3 linked regions of the Ovis aries genome follow. The protein of the gene in region 2 interacts with the protein of the main gene of each other region in a pairwise test. Links are inferred from orthologs where the notes say so. Each region holds a gene or a part of one and is shown on either strand. Other genes may lie near its edges. The genes, in order: QRICH1, CRX and PPP1R16B.

Evidence for each region.
Region 1: the proteins of CRX (region 2) and QRICH1 interact in binary tests that used the Homo sapiens proteins (3 or more experiments, as listed by UniProt). The two-hybrid records come from large-scale screens. The link is inferred for Ovis aries from reciprocal best matches to the Homo sapiens genes CRX and QRICH1.
Region 3: the proteins of CRX (region 2) and PPP1R16B interact in binary tests that used the Homo sapiens proteins (3 or more experiments, as listed by UniProt). The two-hybrid records come from large-scale screens. The link is inferred for Ovis aries from reciprocal best matches to the Homo sapiens genes CRX and PPP1R16B.

Annotation. Positions count from the first base shown.
Region 1 is NC_056072.1:50,999,443-51,008,402, reverse strand, and holds part of QRICH1 (transcriptional regulator QRICH1), read right to left. Parts: intron 8,344-8,960; coding exon 8,229-8,343; intron 3,360-8,228; coding exon 3,251-3,359; intron 2,895-3,250; coding exon 2,743-2,894; intron 2,422-2,742; coding exon 2,331-2,421; intron 922-2,330; coding exon 729-921; 3' UTR 1-728. UniProt on the Homo sapiens protein: Transcriptional regulator that acts as a mediator of the integrated stress response (ISR) through transcriptional control of protein homeostasis under conditions of ER stress.
Region 2 is NC_056067.1:54,469,091-54,479,843, forward strand, and holds CRX (cone-rod homeobox protein), read left to right. Parts: upstream 1-5,097; 5' UTR 5,098-5,136; coding exon 5,137-5,236; intron 5,237-5,966; coding exon 5,967-6,118; intron 6,119-7,902; coding exon 7,903-8,550; downstream 8,551-10,753. UniProt on the Homo sapiens protein: Transcription factor that binds and transactivates the sequence 5'-TAATC[CA]-3' which is found upstream of several photoreceptor-specific genes, including the opsin genes.
Region 3 is NC_056066.1:67,710,841-67,720,834, forward strand, and holds part of PPP1R16B (protein phosphatase 1 regulatory inhibitor subunit 16B), read left to right. Parts: intron 1-2,199; coding exon 2,200-2,325; intron 2,326-2,864; coding exon 2,865-2,940; intron 2,941-3,555; coding exon 3,556-3,685; intron 3,686-3,777; coding exon 3,778-3,946; intron 3,947-7,771; coding exon 7,772-8,281; 3' UTR 8,282-9,994. UniProt on the Homo sapiens protein: Regulator of protein phosphatase 1 (PP1) that acts as a positive regulator of pulmonary endothelial cell (EC) barrier function. Involved in the regulation of the PI3K/AKT signaling pathway, angiogenesis and endothelial cell proliferation.

The sequences.
Region 1 (8,960 bases), on a different chromosome or scaffold from region 2:
CTTAATAAACAACTAGATTAAGAATACATAAGAGAAACAGAGTGGTATCTTTATATGATACACAAGTGTATGTTACAAGAATTCCATCAGGCACAGAAGCCTCAGGTTTAAGGCCTCAGTGTTAGGCCGGGGTGGGGGGAAAAAAAAGGCATGGTAAAGTTTTTACTTTAACATCTAAAATGTCACTTGTCATAAAGGAGGGTGTAATAGAAATTGTCTTTAATAAATCATAATTGAAGTTCCCCTCATTTTCCTTCCATTAAGATGCTAGGTTTGTGTCTGAGCATGAAGAAAGAAAAGACCGCGGCTCCCCCGTGGTCAGCGAAGTCTGCCAGTCAGAGTGGAAGCCAGCTGGGGAGATTCCCTGGAGGGTCCATCCATCATTAATTCCATCTTTCTGGAGGAAGGGAAGGGGCCACATTTCTCCTAACAGTCCAAGCCCTTTCCTCAGGCCCCACCCACACAAAAAAGTCAGCCAGCAACTTTCCAGGACATCTGGCTCTCAGGAAACCCTGAGCCCCTATGGGCTGAAGAGTCCCCACAGCAGGTTTATGAAGATGCACAAGGGGGCAAAGTTTCCTTTTACATTTGAAACAGAAGCAGTCTGAAAGGCTTCATAACTACACCAATAAAAAAAGAAAAGAAAAAAAATGGAGGCCTCTTCTTTAGTGTGAGTCTGTCCGTTTTTTTCCTGGATGGTCTCCCATGCACCATGGCTGAGGGGTCTCTCAGTGCATGGTGCTGGCGCTGGCCACTGCAATGGCCTCCTGAATTTCTCGTATCACCAGGATCCGAGTCAGCATCTGCCCCATCTGCTCTCTGCTGATAGGCTGGACTGAGTACCAGATCGGGCTGTTGGGGGCCACCACCGGCTCGGGCGTCAGGTAAAAGGTGTCATTCCGGCCTTTCACACTCTGGGGGCTGGAGAATATATGGGTAAAAAGCTGGGTAAAAGCGTCATAATCTCAACCTTCCCACCTTGAACCTCCTGGACAGATGCTACCTACAAAAGATGGGAAGTTCTGGAAAGAATGGTGGCTCCACTGTAACCCCTAAGCTCCATGCAGCCAGGGCACACTACCTCTAAGATGTCCCTACTTTCTGCTCTCCACTTCGCACGCTGAGTCCTCTGATTAGGCCTCCCCTGGCTCAGCTACTCGAGTCCAGCCGTATCCCACGCTGAACCAGTTCCACCACCTATCTATCTCCAAGTCTTTGCTTATGCTGTTTCTTCTACCCCACCCATTGGTAATTTCTCAACTTCATTTGCCTGACTTCTCCGCTTGCTGTGATGCTGCGGCCTCTACCTGCACTCACGCCCACCCTCAATGTTGTGCTGTACTTCTCTAAGTACTTATCATATGCCATCCTCTAACAGTTATTCATCCACTGATTCAAAGTTTATCAAAGGGCTACTGTGTGCCAGGCCTGCACTAGGTGCTGATACTAAAAGAAGTGAATAAGACCCAAGAGTCCCTCTATAATGAACCTCACAGGTAAGAGGGGAGACAAACAGCAGTCAAAACAGTTACATAAAGACAAAATAACAAAAGCACTGGAAAGGGCTACAGAATAAACAGCCAGAGGGAACAGGCAGGGAATCTGGAAATCCTTCTCTGATAAAGTTCTTTTAGGAAGAATGGTTAGGATGAATAGGAGCTAAATGACCAAACACGTGGGGGTGGCAGCATAGGTCTTGAGGAAGGGAGAGTAAGATACCCTTTAGTAGAGAAAAGCAGTGTAACTAGAGAGCCAAGAGCTATGAGAACAAGAGGTTAGCAAGGGAGCGTGCTTGAAAGGCCCTGTTGGTAATTAGGGCAGTAATTACTGTCTTTCTTTGTAGAATAAAAGGAAACCACTGAAGGTTTTCATCTAAGTAACAAAGTAAGACCTACCATGTTGAAAGATCTGCTGGCAGTGTTGTGAGGATGATATGCCCAACTGCAGAAGCAAGAGAGAGCAAAAGCCAAGGAGAGGATCTCCCCTAGACCTACGGTGTAGTGACCAAAGGTCAAGACCAGGAAAACACAGTGCTATACGCTCTATATGTGACAGAGGCGGCCTCTCTGTACCTTCCTCCCTTGACCTTCACCCCCTCTCCATCAAAGTGCACCATCAGGGAGGAGCCCTGGGCACATGCTTTGGGAAAACCAGTAAGTGTGCTTCTATATTTAGCCTTTTGGAAATCTGCTTTTACTTAGCCTGGGGAACTGAGAATGCTTCTGTGAGCACGCGTGCCACGCACACACCCACGCGCAGATACACACATGCACACACACACAGGCGCGCAGATACCCACACCCACACCCCTAGTCACACAGCCTCCTCACCATTTAAAGAGGTAGAAATCGTAGAGCTTGATTGGGCATCTCAGTGGGTTCTCTGGATTTTCCGTCTGCTCTGCATACATGTCATCTGTAACTATAAAACATACCCCCCACCACAGACACGGCATCAGACTGCCTTTACTTAGGCTCAGATTAGGAACCTCAGGCTTTCAGCCATCCCAACTAGGAAAGAAAAGGGTATGAGGCATGAGCGGTGAATATGAAAGGAAAAGGCAGCTATCATTTCTGGGGCATCTCTGCTTCTAGAAGAGTTTGAAATCAGCGACTAGGGAGAAGGGAAGGGAGCATTCCTATCCGCAAATCCCCATCCTCACACTTGTCACTAGCCCCCCAGGCATGAAGGCTGGGCAGAACTAGTAGCACCTCTTTCTGCAACCCCTGCCTCCTTCCCTACCTTTCTGGCCAGTCTGGTGTATCCCAAGTGCCTTCAGGTACCGAATACTCGTGCTTTTATCCTTGGGATTAGAGGGGTTCTTCTTTGTCTGTCGTAAGACCTTGGAGAAGGCCAGCTTCATGTGCTGGTCCACTGTCTTCAACAGGAAGTATCTGCACCACAAGCGAAAGCAAGGCAAAGGGAGGGGTGCCAGGAGGAGACCATGACTTACCCTCCGCCATCGCTGCTTCAGAGGAGCCGCTGCCCACACTCCCAGAATCTGGGCAGGCCCACACCCAAATACACTGTCCAGTGGAGGAGTTTCATAAAGACTAATGGGAGGGACCTGGCAAGGCTGTCTGCCTTACTGGTCGCCACACAAAATGTAGCCAAGTGGGGTGGAGGGCTTCACTAGCCCAAAGGCTCTCAAGCATGTCAAAGGATCTCAGAAGTCCATCTGGATAGTTTCTACCCTCTTCACTGGGCGGATCCCAGCAGTGGCTAAGCATGGAGCCTCTGGAACACTTACTTGGTGTTAAAGAACATGAGGGTGGTCAGCAGTGTGGAAGGGGAGTGAGCCCCGAGCTGCTTGCACTCCCACAGCATCTCCTCAGTCACGTGGCTGGGCAGGACATAGCCTAGGAGGAATAGAGTACTGCTACAACAAGAGGATGGCAGGATGGGAGGCATGAGGCACAGCAAGCACTACATGGGAGTACAAGTTTCACTGGAGAAGGCTTCCTGGGATATAGCAGAATCATCTGGAAAGCTTATTAAAACACAAACAGCTGAGTCCCAACCCAAGGTTCTGGGGGAGGACCCGAAAATGTGTGTTTTCAACAAGTTCCTAACACTACACTTTGAGAACCCCGGCCCTCCATTATCGCTCTCACTGGATGTTAATTCTTCCTCTAATCCCAGGTTAATATCAGGTAAAAGGACATCCCTCAGAGAGCTTGCAACACCCCAAAGTATAAATCAACCTCTGCACATATGCAAACTTCTCTGAAAAGAGCATACAGAGCTTTCATCATAGCTTCCAAGGTGTCTAGACCAGGGCCCAGAGAACTGGTATACATGCCCCTGTTTGTCTTTGTTAAACCTCTATGTCATCCATTCTCATCCCCCTCTGGAAATAGAGGAGAATGATATTCAGATCCCTGATAGCTTTCCCCCACAGGGTAGGTTTTACTTTCAGGAGCTAACTGAAAGCTGGACAGGGACAAAGGCAGTGGTTTCATCAAGAGCTCTGGACACACAGGTCTATACCAAAGATAACACAAGTTGATCACCAAGCCCCCATCATGTGTTCATAAAACAGTCAATACCCAAGTGTGTATGTACCGGGCACTGAGGACATGGTGAAATAGCAGCAAACACCAGCATTCTCCTACAGGAGTTTCAGGATTCTCCAGGCAGGAAGCAAGGGTGGCACTTTCTAGAAGCAGGGGAAAACATTTTCTGCCCAATACATTCCTTTTCTCTGGTCTTGACAAAGCTGGCCCTCTGATTTCATTAGTACTCTTCCACCTCTTTAGGGCTTGTCTGCCTCTGCTCTTTTATTCTGTGGCCCAATGGCAATAAGATAAACTTCCTCGCTGCTGCTGTTTAGTCATGAAGTCGTGTCCGACTCTGCGACCCCAAGGACTGTAGCCCACCAGGCTCCTCGGTGCATGGGATCTCCCAGGCAAGAATACTGGAGAGGACTGCCACTTCCTTCTCCAGGGGATCTTCCTTAGTCTCAGACAAATCTTAAGCAGGATGAGTGACAGAAGATGCTCTCCTTGGGGAAGGCTAGCCCTAGGAATGGTCCAGGCATACATTTAGGATTGCTCTATTTTCTCTGGGTTCTCTCTGCCACCTTGTCACTTCCCTACCTTTAATCACTTCTTAACAGCGCAACTTAAAGTGAACTGCAGTATCTGAAAATCAGAACTCCTAGCGTGGGCAACAGGAGTTACACATAGAAACAACATATAAAAGCCTCATAGTTCTGAATCTGAACTGTGAAGTATCAAAATGTTCTATTTTATATTTATTTTTGTAGTTCTGCCTAGAAACTATGACCAACCCAAGAAGCAATGAACATCCCTACCACCCAGATGGTGGTAATGAAATACCATTTAACACTGAAAGGAACCAGCCTCCATGGAGAGCTGATTGAGTCTACACTGGGAGACAGAAAATGGCCAGGATAAGCCTGGAACATTTTTGGTGAACCAGAAATCAAGGAAGTAGGGTCATGCCAAACAGACTTAAGAGCCAATTTAAACAGGCTCCATATGGCTAGACAGAACAATTTGTACACCATTAAAGATACTAAGTACAATGAACTGAATCATTAAATATGTTTAAATTAACTTGCTCACAATGATTCTTTAAACAAACAAACAAAAGAAACCCCAGCTGAAGCTGGTAAACCAACTCATTACTGTCAAAGCTGCTAAACAAAGGAGAAGAAATAAGCCCTCATCCTGCTTCTTTTATATAATCTCTACTGCTAGGAAATCAAAGAGCTGATGAGGGAAATTTTCTCTTTGTATTTCAGCTAATAAAGAAGTAATAACATCAGAATGCCAATGCTTGCAACTCCTAATGAACTAACGGATCCAGACATCATGGGCACCCACCTATGATGTAACCCTGCCAAGAAGAAAACACACAGAAAAACCAAAACCCGATTTAGCAAGTCTTTATATGCAACTACCAATAAACTGTAAATACAGGGGACAGAAGAGTATGTTAAATTACAGCATGGAGATATTAATAGCAAAAATTAGACTGTAATAATTTAAAAGCCTCATTTCTTCCATAAATAAACTGCAAGAAAAATACGTTTATTTTTGAATTTAATTAAAAGTTACTTAAATTAAGATTAAACATTAAAAGATATCTATGCAATTTCAATGTGTGGACCTTATTTGCACCTTGACTCAACCAAAAAAAAGTGACATTTATGGGACAACTGGAAATGTGAAAAAGGGCAGATTTTGATGACATTGTGACTATTCTTTTTCTAAAAAAGTAAAATAATGGCATTGTGTTACATCAATTTTATGCTAAAATATTTATGGATACAGTGTCTAGGACTTACCTCAAAATGATACGGGAGGGATAAACAGATAACGTATAAATGGAACGAGATTTGCCATGGGTATGTGGGAATGCCATTATTCTGTTCTGCTTATTTTTATATGTGCTTGAAATTTCCTTAACAAAACTTTAAAAAAAGCCAATTTTATACAGCCACACTTGGTCTGAAAATCCGCAAATCATGTACAGAAATTCACTTACTCAGGTGTTTGTTCTAATGATATCTCCTTAGAGACGCTTCCTTCCTAACACCCTTAACACTTTCCATTCTCTGTGCTTTGTCCTTCGAAGTACTTAATTATCATAAATTAACTTGATTATTTATACAGTCTCCCCATATTAGACTGTAAACTTCCATTTTTTCACTACTGAATTGTATAATCTACACTTGGAACTGCCTGGCACACAGTAGGCACTCAAAAGGCATTTGTTTAAATGATACTTTAACACTTAAGCAGTAATCACGATGACAGATGATAACTAGACTAAATCCTTTCACAGTATACACCAACTGTATCAAGTCACTGTTCTACACCTGAAACTGCTACGCCAATTTTATCTCAGTCAGTATACATTTCATTAAATGGCAGAGCCAGGATTAGAACTCAGATATTTGTGTGGACATAAGTTTTTACGTCATCTGGGTAAAGAAGAAGAAGCATGACTGGTGCATCCTAAGGTAACATGTTTGGGAATTCAGCCGTTCTAACAGGCATATAATGTTATATCACTGTATCCATGTATGCATGCACATATGTATCAATATTTATGCAAGCCACTTGCTGAATCTCAGTTCCCCGACCAGAGACTGAACCCAGGCCACAGCAGTGAAAGCATCGAAACCTAACCATCAGGCCACCAGGGAACTCCCATCACTGCTGTTTTAATTTACAACTGACTGATGATATATATCTTTTCATATACTTATCTGCCACCTTCTTTGGTGAATCATGTGTTCAGATTAAAAAACAGGTAAAGGTTCTTTCTTTGTTATTGTTGACTGTTAAAAGTTCTTTATAAATTTTGGATATCAGCCCTTTGTCTGGTATGTGTTTTGTCAAGATTTCCTCCCAGTTTGTGGCTTGTCTTTCATTCTCTTAATAATGCCTTTCAGAGAGCATAAGTTTTTGCTTTTTAATTTTTAATAAAGTCCAACTTACCAATTTTTTTCCTTTCATACATTATTCTTTTTATGTTGTACCTAGAAAGTTACCACCAGACCTAACGTCACCTAGAGTTTCTATTTTACCTTCTAGGAGTTTTATAGTTTTACATTTGGGTCTATGATTCTTTTTTTTTTTTTTTCAATGTGTGGTTGTCCAGCTGTTCCAGCAGTGTTACTTGAAAAGACCATCCTGGGAATTTCCTGGAGGTTCAGTGGTTAGGACTCGACACTTTCACTACATGGCCCGGGTTGAATCCCTGGTCAGGGAACTAAGATCCCATGAGCCGCAGAGTAAAGCCAAAAAACAGAGAAAAAGAAAAAAGGACTATCCTTTCTCCATTTAACTGCCTTTGCCCCTTAGTCAAAGATAAATTCATTACACTCATGGGGCTTTACTTCTGGACTCTATACTCTGTCCCATGGATCTGTCTGTTCTTTCACCAAAGACCTGCACACAGTGTTTACAGCTGCTTTATTTATAAACTGCCAAAACATGGAAGCAACCAAAATGTCCTTTAATTGGTGAACAGATAAACAAACTGTGGCACATTCATAAAATGGACTACTACTCAGCAATAAAAAGAAATGAGCTATCAAGCCATGAAAAGACATGCAGGAACATTAAACGTATATTGCTAAGTGAAAGAAATTAATACTAAAGTATTCTAACTATATGACATTCTGAATAAGGCAAAACTATGGAGACAGTAAAACAGATCAGAGGTTGCCAGAGATTCAGGGGGATAAAGGGAGGGACGAATTAAGTGGAACCCTGGGGATCTGAGGGCAGCAAAACTTGTATGTGATACTGAATTGTAGGTACATATTATACACTGTCAAAAGCCACAAAATATACAACAGAACTCTAATGTAAACTACAGACTTAAGTTAACAACAAGGTATCAAATACTGGCTCCTCGATGTTAACAAATATACTACACTAATACAAGATACTAATAACAGGGGAGACACAGTGTGATGGAATACATGGAATTCCTTGTATATTCCACTTAGTTTTCCTGTAAACCTAAAACTGCTCTTAAAGAATATATTATTTTAAAAAATTATAATAAACAGCTCTGGTGAGCCATGCCCCTCCATACTGAGCCAAGCAGCACAGAGACCGACGCTGGGGCCTGCGATTTACAGCCTCCTCACCCACATGCTATTATCACAGCAAGCCACACAAGCAGCTTATCTTTTTTAAACCCAGGTTCAAAAGACATCCAAGGACTAGGAAGATTCTTACCAAGTGGAGTGACTCGGGGCTGAACGTCCTTCAGAACTTCATGCAGCCACTCCGTGAATCGAACATAATAAAGATCGGAGAAAATGTCATCAACCCGTCCGTTCTCAAAAAGATACTAAAAGGAAAATAATCAATAAAAGCTGTTGGTAGACTCTTGACAAGATGCTGAGGGAAGCAAACAATTACGAGCAGTACCCTCACATCTCCCTACCCGTTCGTCCCCCATTAACCAACCAGCACACTGAGTCAAAACCGCCCAGTGCGCGGCACTTCCACAGCATACTTCAGGATGGGAACTAACTCTCACAACACTCTTGAGAGTTGGCCAATGGAGCAGATTTCATGAATGCTACTTCACCCAAGCAAGGCACTGTCTTATGGTAGCAAAAAAGCATGATGCAGGCTCCAGGGCCAGTCTCTTACCAGCTACGGTGTAAGTTATGTAACTCATTTGAGTCTTGTAACTTTGGGGGCTCAGTGTCCTTGTGTGTAACTGGAGATGACTATGCCTGCCTTGCATGAGTGAGAGAGCATGGAATGAGACAAAGCACATACACTAATTCACCCAGTGCTCCCAGTGACTGCTAAAACAGACTAACAAAATGGGAGATGGGTTTTTCTCGGGCCCAAGCAACAGGGTGAGTCCCAGTCAGCAAGTGTTCTTCCATCACACCACGGGCTTCTCTACAATAGCATTCAAACACCAGGAAATCCCCATCTGGTCTCTGAAAC
Region 2 (10,753 bases):
ATTGGGAAGTCTTGTGTATTAGTTATCTGTGGCTGTGTAATGAGTTAATACATATTTATGATGTTGTGTAGTTTCCTAAAGGAAATAAACCTTGATTATTCATTGGAAGGACTGATGTTGAAGCTGAAGCTCCAGTCCTTTGGCCACCTGATGTGAAGAGCCGACTCATTGGAAAAGACCCTGATGCTGGGAAAGATTGAAGGGAGGCGGAAAAAGGGGGCGACAGAGGACGAGATGGTTGGATGGTGTCACCGACTCAATGGACATGAGTTTGAGCAAGCTTTGGGAGATGGTGAAGGACAGGGAAGCCTGGTGTGCTACAGTCCATGGGGCCACAAAGAGTCAAACACGACTGAGTGACTGAACAACAGACAAAAGTTTCTGAGGTCACAGGAATCCAGGGACAGCATCGCTGGATGATTCCGGCTCAGGGTCTCTCGTTCTGTTGTAGTCGGATGTCAATCAGGGCTGCCGTCACTTGAAGGCTTGACTGAGGCTGGACAGTCAGATTCCTGGGGGTTCATTCCCATGGCCGTCGGCAGGAGGCCTCAGTTCTTGCCGTACAGACCTCGCCACAGGACTGTGCAAGCATGTTCGGCACAACAGCTGCTTTGCTAGAGAGAGAGAGGGCCGGCCTCAGAGGTCACACTGTCATCTCCACAATATCTCATTGGTTGCACACGCAGCCCTGCTCCATGGGAGGGACACCTCTAGGGTGTAAATACCAGTCATTACCTAGGACTCTTCTTGATTCTTAGGATTTATGTGTTACTTCTACTTTTATGATTAGTATCAACACCGAGCATCCCCGAGACCTTTCTATCAGGTCCCACCCGCTCTTAGTCCACTTTCCATCCCGATCACTCTGCCCCAGTAGCGCTGGACACCTTGGTTCTCCTCCCACGAGATGAAACGATTCCAGCCTCCAGCCCTTTGCACCTGCTGCTCCCTCCGCCTAGAGACCTCTGGCCCAAGATCCTCTCACAGCGGGTGCAGAGTCCTTCATTTTGCAGCCCCAAAGTCGCCTCCTTAGAGAGAGGTCTTCCCTGATCATGCTTCCCCAGAGCATGCTTGAGCAGTCCTGTGGTGAGGTCTGTGTGGCAAGAACTGAAGCCTCCTGCTAACACCCATAGGAATGAACCTCAAGGAATCTGACTGAGCAGCCTCAGTCAAGCCTTCAAGTGACGGCAGCCTTGATTGACATCTGACTTCCCTGATCATTCTCCTAAATCAGGAGATCTCCTAAATCAGGAGATCTCCTAAATCTCACCCTCGCCTCAAACCCCATCACTCTCTTATTTTGTTGTTCGTTGTTCAATCACTAAGTCGTGTCTGATTCTTTGTGGCCCCATGGACTGCAGCACGCCAGGCTTCCCTGTCCTTCACCATCTCACGGAGCTTGCTCAAACTCATGACGGTTGGTGATGCCATCCAACCATCTCATCCTCTGTCTTCCCTTTCTCCTCCTGCCTTCAATCTTTCCCAGCATTGGGGTTTTTTCCAATGAGTTGATTCTTCTCACCAGGTGGCCAAAGTATGGGAGCTTCAGCTTCAGCATTAGCTCTTTCAATGAATATTCAGGGTTGATTCCCTTTAGAACTGACTCATTTGATCTCCTTGCTGTCCAAGGGACTCTCAAGAATCTTCTCTAGCAACACAGTTTGAAAGCAAATCAGCCTTCTTTATGGCCCAAACTCTCACATCTGTACATGACTGCCAGAAAAACCATAGCTTTGACTACGTGGACCTTTGTTGGCAAAGTGATGTCTCTGCTTTTGAATACGCCATCTGGATTTGTCATAGCTTTCCTTCCAAGGAGCAAGCATCTTTTAATTTCTTACTACCCCATTTAATTTTCCTTGGAGTTCTTGAAACTCTCTGGAAGCATTTTGAGTTTCTTAAGAAAAGCCTATTTCCTTGTTCAATGTTTGTTTCCCTGATCAGAACCTCAAATTTCAATTCCGTGAGAGCAGAGATGCTGTGTGTCTTATTTCTTATTGTCTCCCTAGACCTTACAGCATGATTTATTTTCAGAAAATATTTGCTGAGTGGATAGCAGAGCTTCAATTTATGATAAATGAAACTCTCGCAAATGAGGGTTGAGAAGGACAGGGCAGTGAGAGAAGGATGAGGTGGGCGCTCACATAAACACTATCCAACTGTAAGCGTTTATTTATTTTGCAAATATTTATTGGGGATGCTGGGGACACCCCAGGGACTAAAATGTTCCTAGTCTCCATCCTCAGGTAGCTGGATCAGGGGAGACAGACAGGCAAACATATTTATAAATATGTCGTATTTAGTACGTGTGATTCCTGAAGATCAGGAGAAAGCGTGTGTGTGTGTGTGTGTGTGTGTGTGACATCCTGTTTAGGGTGTGGGCTGGCTCTCCTGGGAAATTATGTTTGAGCTGTGTCCTGGAGGAGGAGAAGGGGTTAGTTCGCTGGTGAGAGGGGGTTTGGGGCTGAGAGAGAGGCATTCCTAGCCCAGAACAGTTATTGGAAGTTTCTGGAGAGGCTGAGAGGTCTCCTGAGGTCATCTTAACTAGGGCGATAGGGAGCCCTGGAGAATGTCTCTCTCTGTTTTAAATAGCTGGTATTGTTGGTTTTGTTGTTGAAAGGGCAATTTACACACACGTGGTTAAAAAGTAACCCAAGCTGTGAAACAAGATATGGATACAACACAGCTCCTCGGAGGCAGCCACTGTTTCCGTATATTGTGTCCTTGGGAATGTTCTATGCAACAGGAATGCGTAAATGTATGTACATATGCTGCGCTCAGTTGCTTCAGTCGTGTCCTACTCTCTGCAACCCCATGGACCGTAGCCCGCCAGGCTCCTCTGTCCATGGGATTCTCTAGGCAAGATTACTGGAGTGGGCTGCCATTTCCTCCTCCAGGGGATCTTCCCCACCCAGGGGTTGAACCTGTGTCTCCTGCATTAGCCGGCTGATTCTTTCACCGCTGAGTCACCAGGGAAGCCCATAACTTGGTAAAATATGATATCTAACACACAGACAACCCCCCCCCCCCCCCCCGTATTTCCAAAATGTAATAAAAAAATTAAAAACCTGACTCTTAGGCACATGTAATAAGCCAAAAACAAAGATTTAAGTCTTGAACTGGCTGTTTCCAAGGAGAATTCAAGGAAGAGAGGTTAATACTGTTACTCAGAAAAGGTGTGCTGAAAAGAGCTGGTTAGGTTAGGTACAAAACCAGTCCAAGTTCTACAGGCAGCAAAACTGTAACCCTGCGGTTATCTTTTCTAACCAGAGACAAATCATGGCCAACCAAACATCTGAAAGTTGCCATTGAACTTGTCAGTGTCCGGATCCTAGTCAATAGTGAAGAATCAGTTGAACAAGGGTCCAGTCCCCTAGAAAAGGAACTAATGCTTGGCTTGGTTGTCTAGATAACCAGGAAGTGACTTGCTGTCGACCATTTGTCTCATTGCTAAGTTTAGGGTAATCTTTTTTAAAAATTTATTTATTCGGCTGTGCTGGGTTTTAGTTGCAGCCCACTGGCTCCAGAGCACGTGGGCTCAGTAGCTGACGGGCTCAGGCTGCCTTGCCCCACAGCATGTGGGATCTTAGTTCCCCGACCAGGGATCGAACCCACATCCCCTGCATCGGAAGGTGGATTCTTAACCACTGGACCACCAGGGAAGTCCCAGGATAAGCTTTCCTTAACTATATGCTAGAGGTCGCTTCAAGTCCATTCACAGAGAATTATAGTTTTTAATGACTTTATAGTACTCTCTTGCCCGGATGTGCCATAATCGTAACATAACTTACTTAAATTCCATAACTTACTTACTATGTCTCCTTTGGTGGATGTATAGGGTGCTTCCACATTGCGGCAATTATAAATATGCTGCATTAAAAATCCTAGCTTGGGTGGGGAGGGGTAAATTAGGAGTTTGGGATTGACAGAAACGCACTATGATATATAAAGGAGAGAAACAGCAAAGACCTACTGTATGGCGCAGGGAACTCTATTCACGCTCTGGTAATAACCTGTAGTGAAAACTAACGTTAAAGAAATACAGAACTGAATCACTTTGCTGCGTACCAGAAACTAACACGACATTGTAAGTGAACTATACTCCAATAAGAAGTATCCGAGCATAAAGTCTGTGCAAACGTCTGCTTGCAGATAATAATAACCACCACAGGTTTGTAGCATTTGCTGCGAGTCAGGTGCTATTTTAAGTATCAGATGCACAATAATTCATTTGACCCTCACATCGACCTAAAGATGTAAGCTGTATTGTTGGTTCCCATCTTCTGATGAGGTGGCTGAGGCACCTTGAAGGTGAATTGCTGGGACCAAGGAAAGACGGCATTTTTCTTTGATAAATGTTTGCAGTTTGTTCCATCCACACTGTCGCCCGTCTGACACAAGTAGCCTGTTCTGAGGCCATCCCTGGAGTTACCAAGCCTCTTTGATCTTTGCCAACTTGATGGGGTCAAAAATAGTCATGGGAGATCATTACTTGCTGTCATTTGACTGTGACTCCCTTGGGGTCACTAACCATCCTGATTTGTCTGGGAGTTTTCAGATTTGTCACTGAAATCCCATACCCCTAGAAAGCTCTCTATCCCCGGCAGACTGAGACAACCAGTTTCCCTACTTTGCCATGATTCTGTGTGAGGCTGAACATCTTTTTTGAGGTCCTAGGGGTTGGGAAGATCTCCTGGAGAAGGCCACGGCAACCCGCTCTAGTGTTCTTGCCTGGACAATCCCATGGACAGAGGAGCCTGGAGGGCTACAGTCCACGTGTTGCAAAGAGCCGGACACGACTGAGTGACTGACGCTAACACACGGGGTGGGGGAAAGGTCTTGGACAAGGGAGTTGGTCAGAAGATCTTTTAAAGGATAGAGTAGGAATAGGAGCTTACATTTAGAATGCTCCTTACAGCTTTTGATCTTGGCTTTATAGAGTCCCAGTGATGCTTTGACGACCTTAAGCAGAGGGCTGTTTTATAGGTGAGGAAACCCAGGCACAGACTGGGGGGATAAGTTGCCCAAGGTCACATATCTAGGAAGAGACTGAGGCGGTGATGAACTGGGGAGTTTGTGAGCACCCATCCTTTTCTCGCAGGCCCCCTGACCTGGGCCCCAGCATCCCCGAAGATCATGATGGCGTATATGAACCCGGGGCCCCACTATTCCGTCAACGCCTTGGCCCTGAGTGGCCCCAGTGTGGATCTGATGCACCCAGCTGTGTCCTACCCAAGTGAGTACAGTCATCCTCCCTGCCCCCCCACCCCCTGCTGGCCCCCACCTTCTGGAGTCCCTTGCCCTCAGGAAGCGGATGGGTACTTACAAGGATGACATCAGGGCCATACACCAGCCAAACGGGCTCATCTGTAAATGCAAAGCACACCCCACATCTCTTAGGGATGCAGGAGAGCGTGTGGATCTTCATAGAAATTTAGGACAGTGGTTCCCTTTCGGGTGAGGGAGGGAAACCATCTGGAAGGGGGACCCAGAGGAATTCCCATCTGTCAGCGATGCTTTATTTCTTAGCGAAGGAAGCGTTCTATTTTTGATGGTATTATCCTTTTGTTAAGTTGACCATTACGGTCCTGCCTCTTTTATAGGCTGGATATCCCCAAACGGCTGGATATCCCAAATGTCATGTTTCAAGTGAATGTCTTAGTGCAGAAGGAATTTTAGAAAGGGGATGAAAACCAAACTCAGATACCTCCTTACACAGGTAAAGCCAGTTCTCCTCGGGGCGAGGCAAGAGTCCCCCCTAAGGATACGCAAAGGGAGAACCCGTTTCCCAGGGGGACAGAGTGAGGTCTAGAAGTTGAGGGAATCAGCACCCCCTTAGTTTGGGCAGATGAACGCCCAGAAGAGGCTTGTTAGCATCCCATGCCTTCTCAGGACCTTGCGTCAGCAGATGCAGAGAATGGGGTCTCAGGTCACCCAGCAGTCCTGTTTTTCTGTCCTCACCCCAGGCGCCCCGAGAAAGCAACGGCGGGAACGGACCACCTTCACGCGAAGCCAGCTGGAAGAGCTGGAAGCCCTGTTTGCCAAGACTCAGTACCCGGATGTGTATGCCCGTGAGGAGGTGGCTCTGAAGATCAACCTGCCTGAGTCCAGGGTTCAGGTGGGGTGTTCTGGTCCCTGGGATCCAGAGCGGAGGAAAGAGGGAGAGGTCACAGAGGAAGGGCTGAAGTGTCCTGTTAATCTCTCATCCCCGTAATTTCGCTGGCTTCCTATCTGGCATGCCTATCCCCTCTCATTCTACTCCATGAGCACTGCCCCAGTCCTTCCTTCAGCATTCCCACCAAGAACACTCTTTGTTCCCTCTACCCGGAAGATATATTCCCTACACCCTGTTCAAGTCTTTGTTTATCAACCAATCTAGTCACCTTGCCAGTCAATGAGACCTCCACCGCCCTTGGCATTAGAAGCTGCAGCTTTTTCCCGCCATCCCAACTCTGCTACTCCCCCTCACTCTGCTCAATTGGTCCTCCCATAGCATTTATCACTTTCTAAAATTCTATGTGATTTCCTTCCTTACTATTTATTTATATGCTGTCTCTCTCAAGACTTCCCTGGTGGCTCAGATAGTAAAGCGTCTGCCTACAATGCGGGAGACCCAGGTTCAATCCCTGGGTCGGGAAGATCCCTTGGAGAAGGAAATGACCACCCACTCCAGTATTCTTGCCTGGAAAATCCCATGGACGAAAGAGCCTGGTAGGCTACAGTCCATGGGGTTGCAAAGAGTCAGACACGACTGAGCAACTTTCTTTCTTTCATTCTCTCAAGTAGAATGTCAGCTTCATTGGTGTGTCCCCAAAGGAGTAGAAGAATACATGTTTATTAAATAACTGAACGGATGGATGGATGGATGGATGCATGGATGGGTAAATGTATATGTGTGTTTGATTGTATATATGTATGATGCATATATGATTGTATATATGGATGTGTATGTGTTTGTATGATAATGTGTGTACATATGTACATAAGATCGGAAAGATGAAAGTATGTATCATTGTATGTGAGGTGAAAGTGTCAGCCTCTCAATCATGTCGGACTCTGCGATCCCACTGACTGTAGCCCACCAGGCTCCTCTGTCCATGGAATTCTCCAGGCAAGAACACTGGAGTGGGTAGCCATTCCCTTGACCAAAGCCGGGTCTTCTGCATTGCGGGCAGATTCCTTATCATCCGAGCCCCCAGGGAAGCCCATTATTGTGTGTATATACTTACAACTGTGCTTAGGCATGACTGTTATGTGTGTGCTTATGATTGGCTGGTGAATGTGCGTAGGTATGACTGTATGTCTGCATGCATATATGAATGATTCGGTGGACAGATGAATGTATAGGAGTATATTTGTATGTTACATGATAGTAGGTATGTACATATGATTGGCTGGAAGAATGTGGATATATGTGTGTGACCATGTGTGTGCCCGCAAATGTATGCATGTACAATCGTGTGCATTGTATATGATGGTGTATGTGTGGCTGTACAATCGTGTAGATAAATAGTTGGGTGGGTGGTGGATGAATAGAGTGCCCCATGTTGCTGTGTAGCTGCTCAGTCGTGTCTGACTCTCTGTGACCCCATGGACTGTAGCCCACCAGGCTCCTCTGTCCAAGGGATTTCCCAGGCAAGAATGCTGGAGTGGGTTGCCATTTCCTTCTCTAGGGAATCTTCCCGACCCAGGAATTAAACTCACGTTTCCTGCCTTGGCAGGCGGATTCTTCACCCCTGAGCCCCCTGGGAAGCCCCCTGAGTGCCCCACAGCCGATTGCAAAGTAGAGAGTTATGACTCTGGCATGCTTCACCGATAGGCATCACCACTCCTGGGCATCACGAAGGCTCCCCTGGGCCTCCTGCCCACTCTCCCTCCCTCATCTCCCCTCTCGCCCCCCAGGTTTGGTTCAAGAACCGCCGGGCTAAATGTCGGCAGCAGCGGCAGCAGCAGAAACAGCAGCAGCAGCCCCCAGGGGCACAAGCCAAGGCTCGTCCTGCCAAGAGGAAGGCAGGCACATCTCCAAGGTCCTCCACGGATGTCTGTCCAGACCCCCTGGGCATCTCAGATTCCTACAGCCCCCCTCTGCCTGGGCCCTCGAGCTCCCCCACCACGGCAGTGGCCACGGTGTCCATTTGGAGTCCGGCCTCCGAGTCCCCTTTGCCCGAGGCGCAGCGGGCAGGGCTAGTGGCCTCGGGCCCCTCTCTGACCTCAGCGCCCTACGCCATGACCTACGCCCCCGCCTCTGCTTTCTGCTCTTCTCCCTCAGCCTATGGGTCGCCGAGCTCCTATTTCAGTGGCCTGGACCCCTACCTGTCTCCCATGGTGCCCCCATTGGGGGGCCCGGCCCTCAGCCCCCTTTCAGGCCCCTCCGTGGGGCCCTCCCTGACCCAGTCCCCCACCTCCCTGTCAGGCCAGAGCTATGGCACCTACAGCCCTGTGGACAGCTTAGAATTCAAGGACCCCACAGGCACCTGGAAATTCACCTACAACCCCATGGACCCCCTGGACTACAAGGATCAGAGTGCCTGGAAGTTTCAGATCTTGTAGAAGACCCTCCTCTCTCCATCTCTTGTCCCTTCTGCACATTGTCCCGACCTGCCCTGGGACAGCATCCCGGGGGAGGTGGCAGGAGTCCCTCCGAAGGTCGTGGCCTCTTTGGCTCCCGTGACCAACACAGTCCACCCCTTTCCTCCTGGGGAGCTCGATAGGTGTTAGTCATCCTCTCAACCCCAAGGTGGTCTCATACGGAGTCCAACCGGCATTTCAAACCATGAGCCCCAGACTCCAGAAACTGGTGCTGAGAATCCGCCCTGAGATGAAATTAAACCAACCTTGCAGTTGACCTGGGGTCGTGTTTAGGTCAGAAAATCACAGTGCTGTTGAACAAACAGGTCGGGAGGCTTGATTCCTTAACTTTCCATTTGGGGACACTTCTTTAGCTCATGGGTAGAGATCCTTCTAGAAATCCCAAAGACAGACTTTACGGAGCCCCAGGATGGAACCTTTAGGCCAGCTATACTGTTAAGTTCAGAAATTCATTTGGCAGTTTTCCAGATTTCGCAGATGTCAGGTCTGCATGATAGGTTTAGGGGGCTACACACACACACACACACACACACACACACACACACACACACACACACACACTTTCTACTTGTTGTTAGTTTCTTCTTAAAGCCACTTCATCGTTCGCTTATTCATGACACTGGAAATGGGCATATCTGGTGGGAGAATGGAAGGCAAGTTGCCTGTTTCACGTCTCCTTCGTTTTCTTTCGTTTTAGCGTTTTTTAAAAGGTGAACTTCACCCAAACACTGGAAGAATCTCGGTTGCTGCTTGGGGTACACCAGCTATGATTGTGGCTATTTCCAAGAGAAGAAGAGGTTGGACAGGCTTCCCACCTGTAAATATATAAGAGGCAGGGGTGGGGCAAAAGAAATAGATTTGGGGGCAGCCCCACATCCCACACTCACACTCCCGCTTTTAGAGGTTTTGTTTTCAGTTTCGATTGTGGGGTTGGACTGTACATAGAGACTGGCCTGGGAAATTTTCCGGGGGCAACGCTGTATTTCTTTGAATACAGTCTGACCCATGGCCGCAGAGACAAGCAGTGTAAGAATCTGAAGAAGGATGCAGGCATTCCAACACTCTTGGAAGTTTGGTACTTTGACACCTACTTTCTCAATCTGAGTTCTTTTATTTTGGGGTGGGGGAGGCAGGAGCCACGAGCCACTCACTGGTGGGTTTCACAAGGCCAGGGGTGAAAGAAAGTAGTGTGGGAGAGAAGTGGTATGCTGGGAGGTGTTTAACAACAGGCTCTGGAAGGAAGAGGAAATCCTGGTTTGTCATTGTTACCCATTTCTGTGGTGTAAATACTCCCACTGTGGCTGATGTCAAGGCATCAGGCTGAGGTCCCTGAACTTAGGAAGAGACACTCACAGTCTGTGCTCACTAGCCAGGACAAGCTGGCTCCAGGCCCCCAGGGCGGAAAGCAAGGTCAGGAGGAGGGGCATGATGCAAAGTGAGACTGGGTGGCATCAGATGATGCCAGGTCAGGAGGAACCATGAGCGGCACCCTGAGATCACTAGAGCCCCCAAAGGTGTCTCTCCTGGGTCTGAGTCATGCTGGGACATTAGACCCAGCATCCACGGTGGGAAGCAATATCTAAACAGAGAAAGACAACATATATTGACATACGGGATGGATGTCAATCCACCGATCCAGGCAAAAATTTGCCAGGGAGGGGCAGGTAGGAGATGGCATTGTGCTCTGGATCTGTGTAAACGCTGGGACCAGGATGCAAGTGCCCATTAGGCATTTTGCAGAGGCTCCCACACTCTTTGCTGGAGGCTGGGGTCTCAGGTGTGAGTAGAGTCTCTCACTGAACTGAACTGAACTGAACTGCCTCACCAAGTTTTCCATTCACAGAGGACGGAGTGTCTTATGCAAATGATTCAGAGGCAGTAATAGACTCTGGGAGGGGGGCCAGAGACACAGGCCAAGTAAGACTTTAAGAGTAAGACTTTAAGAGTGTCCCCCCGCCCCGCAACTTCCTGGGGTCTTCTGAGAGTTCTCTAGGAGTTGGACAGAGGAAGGAGTCAGATCTTTCAGGAGATTCCAGGTTCCTTCTCCTGGGTCAGTCTCCTGAAGCCTGGTTCTTCAGCTGTCCCTTAGGGATTCCTAAAGCCAGGAAGAGTGTCAGAGGAAGTGGGGACAGAACAAGAGGTCCCCCTCCTTCTATGTCAAGTC
Region 3 (9,994 bases), on a different chromosome or scaffold from region 2:
TGGAATCTTCTCTCTCTCTATCTGCCTCATTAGCTTCACTCACTGTTTCAATTCAAATGTCAGTGAAACCTTCTTGATCTTTCTTCATAGGCCTTCATAGCATGATACAGCTCAGTATTGGGGAAGTCTGCTTCTGCAGCCTCTAAACTGAGAACTAGAACATGGCCTTGGAAGCCCCCCTCAACCTTGCCCATGGCTGGGCCCATCCTGTTCTAGGCTTGGGGTCCATGTGATTGTGAGCACTCAGGGTCTCAGAATCTTCAGCTTTTCAGGTAGGGCTCAGCAGTACCAAGTTCCCTCACTGCCCCTCAGGCCTGACCTGGTAGCCCAGATGTGATCATTGGACTTCTCCCATCCCGTTCCTGAGTCCCACCCTCTGTCTCATCCCCCTTTCTTTTTTTTTAAAATAAGACTTCTAAAATTGATTATTGGTTTATTTCAGTGACATATAGTTGCTTTATAATATACTAGTTTCAGGTATATGACACAGTGATTCAATATTTTTTATAGATTATACTCCATTAAAAATTATTACAAGATAATGGCTATATTTTCTTGTGCTGTACAACATACTTTGCTTATTTGTTTTAGTAGTTTGTGCCTCTCAGTCCTCTACCCCCATCTTTCCCCTCCCCCTTCCCTCTCTCTGTTAGTGAGTCTGTTTCTGTTTTGTTACATACATTCGTTTGTTTTTTAAATTCACATGTAAGTGATAACACAGAGCATTTGTCTTTGTCTTCTTTCATGAAACATAAGGCCCTCTTGGTCCACATGTGTTGCTGCAAATGCCATTATGTCATCCTTTTATATGGCTGAGTAGTATTCCATTGCCTGTATATACCATACCTTCTTTATCCATTCATCTGTTGACAGACACTCAGGTTGCTTCCATATCTTGACAATTGTAAATGATGCTGCTATGAACACTGGGGTGCCTGTATCTTTTTGAATTAGTGTTTTCATTTTCTTTGGATATATATCCAGCAGTGGAAGTAGTTCTCTTTTTTAGGTTTTTGTGCCTCCTGCTCTTTTCTAAGGAAGGGGTCCCTGCTCAGCCCAGCACTCAAGAGTTGAGTCAGGTAGTTGGATTGAACGCTGCATGAAGACTGGACGAAGTTTTGGCCAGGCTGTGCCAGGACACTGCCCGCCCTGGATGGGGCTCCGTTGGGTCTGTGGCTCAGCCCTGTAGACACAGGGGTCTGCTCCTCTTGGGCTGGCCTCAGAGCGGCTTCACTCACATGGCTGGGCACACACTAGGTCTCAGTTCTTCCCAGTGAAGCAGGGAGGCGTACCTTCCCCAGGGGGCTGTTGGGAGGACTAAATGAGATTCTGCATGTAGCTGCTCAGCACAGAGCCTGTAAACTCTCAATAGATTCTGGTGATTAACTCATTATTATTATTAACATGATCACTTCTATTTATATAATAAATAGCAAGGTCCTACTGTGTAGCACAGAGAACTATATTCAATGTAATTATAGTTGTAATCCTCTGTAATGGGAAAGGAAATCTGGGAAAAAATATATGCAGGTGAATAACTGAATTGCTTTGCTATATACCTGAAACATTGTAAATCAACTATACTTTAGTAAAACAAAAAATCAAAAAACCCACCAATATCACTCTCCCAGTCATAACTTTTTATTCCCAGCTATGTATGTGGCCCTACAGTTTTTAATGTCTGGCTGGCTGTGTGTCATTCTTAATAGCTGGCAAGCATCAAACATTTATAAATCAGATAGTGATACCAGTTTTCATGTGTGCCTGTTCCAGATCATACCCTGTTTTTTTTTTTTCTTTCTGAAAATTAAAAAAAAGAAAAAAACCCAAAACCTCTGTTTGCCAGAAACTTATAGCAACCTGACCCCCGGATGACGCGGCATCTGGCCATTAGGGCTGTGTTCTGTTGGACCTCTGAGACCCCATCTACAGGGCTCAGTGCATAGTAAGCACTCAGTAAATGCTGATGCCTTAACGACAGGGGCTTGAAGACGGAAGAGAAGCCCCTTCTCCCTTACCTTCCTTTTCCATACTGCAGACTTACTAATGCTCTGTCACGTGGCTGGTATCTTCACCTCCTTCTATTCCATTCTACGGCCCTAAATATGATCTGGGCCTTGAGCCGGGGAATGGGCTCTCCTGCTTCCAAATGAGGGACCAGCCCCCGTGGGGAGTGCTGACCCCTTTCCTCTCCTTCAGCTGCACATAGCTGGAGCCAACGGATACCTGCGGGCAGCCGAGCTCCTCCTGGACCATGGTGTACGCGTGGATGTGAAGGACTGGGATGGCTGGGAGCCCCTGCATGCGGCTGCCTTCTGGGGACAGGTAGTTGTCACCCACAGTGCTGTAAGAGAGGCCAGCTTATGGCCAACCTGCTGACCTTTGGGCTGGGAGTTGGTTCAGAACACCCGACCCATTTAGGGTGTTGACTACAGCTAGCGTGTAGGATGTGAAAAGACCTACGGAGTTTACAAAAAGGATTGTCAAGTTGTGTCCTAACAAGATGACAATCCAATTTGCCAAATTAGAAAATTTCCCACATTTCTGTCTTGAGTTTTTCCACTTGTTTCCCAGATAGAAATCTCTGTAGCTTTCGCCATTCCTCTTTAAACACTTGACAGCTCTGGAGTTATAGCTGACTCCTTCTGTCCCTCGGTATGGCTGAGTCATGCTGGAGGAGGTGTCAAGCCTATTGCATTTGCCGGAGTTCCCGGCTTTAGGGAGCAGAGCCTTCCCTGGGAGTCAGCTTTGCCCTACCATTCTTTGGATCACATCCTAAGAAGCTTTGAACTCTCACTCTCTCCGACTCCTAGGCTTTCTCAGCTGTGGGCAGGGGGGAACCCGGGCTTCTTCCTGTGTTTCAGATGCAGATGGCAGAGCTGTTGGTGTCCCATGGGGCCAGTCTCAGTGCTAGGACATCCATGGATGAGATGCCAATTGGTAAGTTCAGAAGGACCACGCCTGCACTCATTGATTTTTTTGATGAGTGGAGGATAAATGGTTGAATATATGGTTGGATAGATGGTAGATGGATAGTTTGATGAATAAATTAATGGGTGGTAGATTAATGGATGGATAACTGGGTAAATGTATGGATGAATGAATTAAGAGGATGGGTGGGCAGAGGATGAATCTATGGATGACTGGTTCAGCGAATAGGTAGACAGATGAACTAAAGGATGAGAGGGACTGAGTGGGTGGGGATATATGATTTCAGGCTCTTTTCATAATGTCTTGCTTGGGCTCTGTGGGGTACCTTCTGGTTTCTCTTGATATATTTTCTATCAGTGGAGAATTGATGACTCCTCTTGGAAGCGATCAAAGGTGTATGAATCCTTCAGTCATATCTGTGAATTGGGACTGTGCATGGGACCTGGGGTTTCCTCTTCTTACACTCCTCTAAGGATTGGGTTGTAGCCCAGGAAATAAGGCTGGCACTGCTTTCTTCCCTCCAACCACACCCCAGAAGATGTGAATTTTCAGTGGGTCTGGGGGGCCCTCGGGGATCACCAGCCCCTTCTCTGCCCCCTACCATGGACTCCTCCACCCTTTCAGACCTGTGTGAAGAGGAGGAGTTCAAAGTCCTGCTGTTGGAGCTGAAACACAAGCATGATGTGATCATGAAGTCGCAGCTGAGGCATAAATCATCTTTGAGCAGGAGGACGTCCAGCGCGGGCAGCCGAGGGTGAGCTGGGGGCGGGACAGCCAGGGGCGCCCAAGGATGCTCCTGCCCATGGAGCCTGGAAGCAGCCTCCCAGTACCCCCCTCTCCCCTTAGGAAGGTGGTACGTCGAGCCAGCCTGTCCGACAGGACCAACCTGTACAGGAAGGAGTATGAGGGAGAGGCTATACTCTGGCAGCAGCGGAGTGCATCCGAGGATCAGCGGAACTCCACCTACAACGGGGACATCAGGGAGACCAGGACAGACCAAGAGAATAAGGACCCGGTGAGAGCTTGCCTCCCACCCAGCCCCAGTGAGCACTGCCGTGGGAGGGGAACGGCTGGAACCCCAGCCTGGCGTTGCTTCTTTATTTCAGAGCCTTCGGAGGGAGGTCAGCTGGCCATCGCCCTTAAACCAGCTGGGTCCTGTCTGAGGGGGTGCCTACCATGGTTATTGAGGCAAGTGTAGGACGTGTTCACGTCAGAGCTGGGTGATTGGCACACAGTAGGGGCTCATAACTGCCAGGGAGTGAGTGATCACCATGTGCCTGCTTGAGCTCCAGCAGAAGAGAGATTTTATTCTGGCTTCCCAGAGGAAAAGGTTCAGTAGGGCGGCCACTCTGGGAGAGAAGGGTGTTAAAACTTTTTTAGGGGAAACCTAACAAGATGTTGAGAATTGTGTTGAGATATCGGGTTGGAAGAAAATTTTTGAAAAATATAGGGGCTGGCTATAGAACGTCTAAGAAGCTGGCTCTAGGAGTAGATAATGATCTGGGCATTAAACCGCTTTCCTAAGATGCTGTATTGTTTTCTGAGAACTGTTGTAATGAATTACCGCAAACTAGGTGGCTTGAAGCGAGAGAAATGTCTTTTCTCCCAGTTCTGGAAACCAGAAGTCTAAAACTCAAGTTGTCTACAGGCTTGGTTCCTTCTGGATATCGGAAGGGGCCTCTGTTCCATGCCTGTCTCCTAGCTTCTGACATCTTGGGCATTCCTTGGCTTTTTGCTATCGTGCCTCCAATCTCTGCCTCTGTCTCCATGTGGCCTTCATTGTGTACGGGTCTGTCTCTATTTTCTCTTAGAAAGACACCAGTCATTGGATTAGGGCCCACCCTCGTCCAGTGTGACCTCATCTTAATGTAACTGATTACACGTGTGAAGACTCTACTTCCAAATAGGGTCACACTCAGAGATGTGGGGTGGATGTGAGTTTCGGGGGGACACTATTTGACTCAGTACAGATGCATTCAGGCCCGTGCCTGGCTGCAGTCTTGCTGAGTAGAATATGCAAGTTTGGGGCCAGAGCAGAACTACTGGGCACAAGAAGGAAGGGGCTGACCATACCAGCAGTGGTGTACCTTTGTGGTTCTACCATCACACAAAGAGCAGCTGAAAACATTTCTAGTTCCTGTTGCTTGGGGGGATGCAAAATGTCTCAGTGGGACCCTGCTTCCCTGTGTGAACAAGGAGGTCATGTGAGGGCTTGTCTTGCCGGCAGGAGTGAAGGCATCTGCTCTAAAGAATCTCCATTGTGAGAGGAGTTTGGAGGAGAATAGATCCATGTATATGTCTAGCTGAGTTCCTTTGCCGCCCACCTGAAACTGTCACAATATTGTTAATCAACTATACTCCAATATAAAATAAAAAGAGTAAAAACAAAAAGAGGGACTTACCTGGTGGTCCAAGGGCTAAGACTCCTTGCTCCCAGTGCAAGGGACCTGGGTTTGATCCCTGATCAGGGGATAAACCACAGCTAAAGACCCAGCGCAGCCAAATAAATGTTAAAAAGAAAAAAGATTCGATGCCAAGTGGTTTTTTTTAAAAGAGAGAATCCCCACTGAAACGCCGATTGGGATGGAGCCCGCACACTCGGAGCTTTTGTTCTGCCCCTGCCCACCTAAGCTTGGGGGTTAGGAAAGAAGAGCTGTAGATTGGAATCAAATCCCATTTCAGATGCTTCCCCGATATGCTTTAATTCTCTTTTCTTTGTGATTGAGGTGTAGCTTCTATAACCTACAGAAATCTTAAACGAATTTGTCAATGACCTCTTTCCAATGAGTACACGCATTTCTGTCACCCCAGAAAGCTCCTACGTTCCCTTTTCCAGGCAGCCCTTCTACCCCACAGATATGAGTGTGTGCTTAGTCACTTCAGTCGTGTTCAACTCTTTGGGACCCCATGGACTGTACAGCTCTCCAGGCTCCTCTGTCCGTGGGGATTCTTCAGGCAAGAATACTGGAGTGGGTTGCCATGCCCTCCTCTAGGGGATCTTCCCAACACAAGGTTTGAACCCAGATCTCCCGCATTGCAGGCAGATTCTTTACTGTCTGAGTCACCAGGGAAGCCCAGCTCAACCTGGTGCTCTGTGATAATCTAGAGGGGTAGGATGGGGGGTAGGGTGGGAGGGAATTTCAAGGGGGTGGGGCTATATGCATACCTATGGCTGATTCATGTTGATGTCTGGCAGAAACCAACCCAACATAGTAAAGCAATTATCCTCCAATTAAAAGAGAAATGCAGGTTCTCAGGCCCCACACGAGATAGACTGAATCATAAACCCTGGGGCTGGGACTCAGCACTCTGTGTTTTAACCAGCCCTCCAGAGGATTCAGATGCATGCAAGAATTTGAGAACCACTGATCTAAGGGTGTGTTTGCTCAGCCTGACTCCCAAGTCAGATTTCTGACAGAACTCTGCACTGATAGCCCCCAGGGCTGGCTGTGGTACCCACTTTTGGCAGAGCTGACTCCCTGATAGCAGGCACAGCCGTGATAAGACAACCCTGTCTCTTCAACCAGTGGTTCATGATCTAAATTGTACAAGAAAATCACCTTGGGGAGGTGTTTTGTTTTTGTTTTTAAAAAACTTGATGTCCGGACTATAATCTCAGTTAATTAAATCAGTCTCCAGGCTTCGGACTCAGGCATTGTATTTGTTCATTTATTTATTTATTAACAAATAGGCTTTATTTTTTTGGTTTATTTCTAGGTTTACAGAAAAATAAGTGGGGGGACTTCCCTGGGGTCCAGTGTTTTAGCTCTGTGCTTCCACTGCAGGGGGCAGGGACTGGGGGACTAAGATCCCACGTGCTGTCCTGTGGCCAAAAAAAGTTTTTTGTGTGTCTTTTGACCTTGTTTATAGTGATTTTTGGTATGCTTTATATTTTTGTTACTGTCAATGTATCCACCTTTTCCTTAGAGTTTCTAGGTAGCACCTCCTTTTAAAGCTCTTGTTACCCAGGGATTTCTGGGTGTAAAAGATCTCTGAGTAAGAACCTCTCCCATTTGGAGAAGAGCTATCCCAGGAATATAGGGAGAGGATTCTCAGTGACCAAAAAGCCCAACTAAGATTGACTTACAGACGCAAAAAGAATGCACTGGCTTGGTTAACTGGAAAGTCTGGGCCAACTGGATGCGGGGGCTCAGAACATATCATCAGGGGACTTCCCTGGCAGTCCAGTGGTTCAGCCTTCACCTTCCAATGCAGCGGGTCTGGGTTAAATCCCTGGTCAGGAAGATAAGATCCCGCATGCCTCGAGGACAAAAATCTAAAACATAGAAACAGAAGCAATGTTGTAATAAATGCAGTAGAGACTTTTAAAATGGTCCACATAAAAAAAAATCTTTAAAAAAGAAAACGTATCACGAGGGTGCAGTGTCTCTGTCTCATGCTCTCTCTTCCTTAATGTTGGTTTCACAGCCAAGCAGACCTTTTAACGCACTGTCTCCCCAGTTTATGATTCTCACCCCTGCAGTTCCTATAGAAACAGAGCTGCTCTTCCCCAGTTTTTCTAGTTTTTCTAGTAAGTCCCAGGGTTGAGTTTCATGGAACCAATTTCTGAACCCATTCCTGAACCAATTCCAATAGTGAGTTTATTGATTGGCCAGGTCCTGGGGTTATGGTTTATCTCCTGGAGCAAAGATGGGAGTCAGTTGGGTCTGTCAAAACCCACAACTGGTGAGACTCCCCAAAGGAAAACGGAGGTCTTATTACCCAGGTAGGGAAAATGGAAGAGGATGGTTTCAAGCAATCATGCCCTCAGTAGAGGCGCAAGCAGGGTTGGGGTTCAGATCCCCCAGCCGGCTGATGATGATGTCCTTCTCGCCCTCAGAACCCCAGGCTGGAGAAGCCCGTGCTGCTCTCCGAGTTTCCCACCAAGATCCCACGCAGCGACATGGACGTGCCTGTTGAGAATGGCCTCCGGGCTCCGGTCAGCACCTACCAGTATGCGCTGTCCAACGGGGACGTCTGGAAAGTGCACGAGGTGCCCGACTACAGCATGGCCTATGGCAACCCTGGCGTGGCCGATGCCACCCCGTCCTGGAGTGGCTACAAGGAACAGAGCCCCCAGACGCTTCTGGAGCTGAAGAGGCAGCGGGCTGCGGCCAAGCTGCTCAGCCATCCCTTCCTGAGCACCCACCTGGGCAGCGGCATGTCCAGGACGGGCGAGGGCAGCAGTGAAGGCAAGGCCCCCTTGATTGGAGGCAGAACTTCTCCGTACAGTAGCAACGGGACCTCGGTGTATTACACGGTCACCAGTGGAGACCCCCCACTCCTGAAGTTCAAGGCCCCCATAGAGGAGATGGAGGAGAAGGTCCATGGCTGCTGCCGCATCTCCTAGTCTCTGTGGGATGGAGGAGAGAGATGCGCGGGGAGAGGGACCCTGGAGTCCAGGCCAGCCCAGCAGCCCTGGCTGGGGGCGGGCAGCTGGGGCGGGAAGGGGGAGCTGGGCTCTGCGTTCCAGAGGAACTCAGAACCCACCTCTCAGCCAGCTGCCCATAGCATCACCACTTCCCATGGTTCTGCTTCTTGCCGCATTGTCTGCCATCAAAAACAAGGCCCCTCGTGGCTTCCTGTCTCATCCTGCTGTCAGATTTTGGGAGGGCGAGTTGGGATTCTAGTTCTGCTGTTGGTCAAGGCTTCTCTGGACCAGTACTCACACGTCACATATCAACACACAGACACACACACTCACACTCAGTCAACATGTGCAGGGATGACACAGCTGGGCTCATGGGAAGCAGGTGGGACTGAAAATTTGTGAGCTCTTCCTAAGAGGACTAAGGTTAAGATTCAGTTTTATCACCACTGCCAACGTGGCTTTAGCAGGGGAGGGAGCCTGCTAACCTGAGACCCGTCATCTTGCCTGGAGTCCTACAACAACTTGGTATTGTCATCTCCATCTGGTGGGAGCAGGAGGTCTTCTATGTTTAGAGGGAGCTATGGTAAAGAATCTGCCTGCGATGCAGGAGATGGGGGTTCGATCCCAGGGTTCAAAAGATTCCCCAGAGAAGGGAATGGCAACCCACTCCAGTATTCTTGCCTGGAGAATTCCATGGACAGAGGAGCCTGGTGGGCTGCAGTTCATGGGGTTGCAAAAAGTCAGACACAACTGAGCAACCAACACTTTCACTCTGATGCACCCACAGTGGGTGGATGAGGTGGGTGTAGACCTGCCCCCCACATCCTTGCCCATGCCCAGAGCCAGCTATGTAAGCACCCAGGGGCCAAGGTGGAACACCAGGTAATTCTGCGCCTGGAGTAATCCAAATCTATTTTGCTCTTGGACGGAAGCTTCAAAATGTGACAAGGAGAGGGAACAAAGGTAGCATTTTTAAAAGTGTGTTGGATAAAATAATTCTTTTAGACTGTAAAACTCCAGGTTGCGGAGGGGGATCGCTGAATTAGCTTTCTTTCACAGACAGTATCATGATGACTAGGTTGTACTGACTGGTATTGAAAAAAAGGGAAGCTAAGGGAGAAGCTTCAGTTGGAAGGGCTTTTCCAGGGAGAGAGTGAGTTCATGTTTTTAATTTTTGCAGACATCTCTGTTCAGCATAACAGAGCCCAGTGCCCTGGCCGAGCTTTGTGACTGGTCAGATGGTTTCAGTCCAGCCTGTCTTCCCCAGTCCTCCTCAGACTGAACTATCAGACTGAGCACTGAGGGGCTGCTGTGGCCCCCACCTCTCCCAGAGTGAATGTTCAGGACTCCCGGCCCAGCTTTGCTCTTTTAGGGATGCCCGGTGATGTGGGTTTGCAGGTTGGCTCTTGTGAGCTCCTGTCTGGCCCAGGGGCTGCTATCCTGCTCTGGCCCAAGCCTGCGGATCTGAGGTGCCCATCTGTGTTCCAGCATCACGCACTGCATTCAAGTGGTGGTGCTGGAGTTGGGTCTTGCGCCAGCTTTACAGTTTCATGGCCCCCAATCTTTCTGATGCTGGGGAGGGAAGAATACGAGGGACAGGATGTCTGCCTCCTCCCCACTGCATCCTCTCATGAGCCCTTTGAAATTGTTGCCCACGAGTTGGACGCTGTCCACGGGCTTGGCCAAAACCTA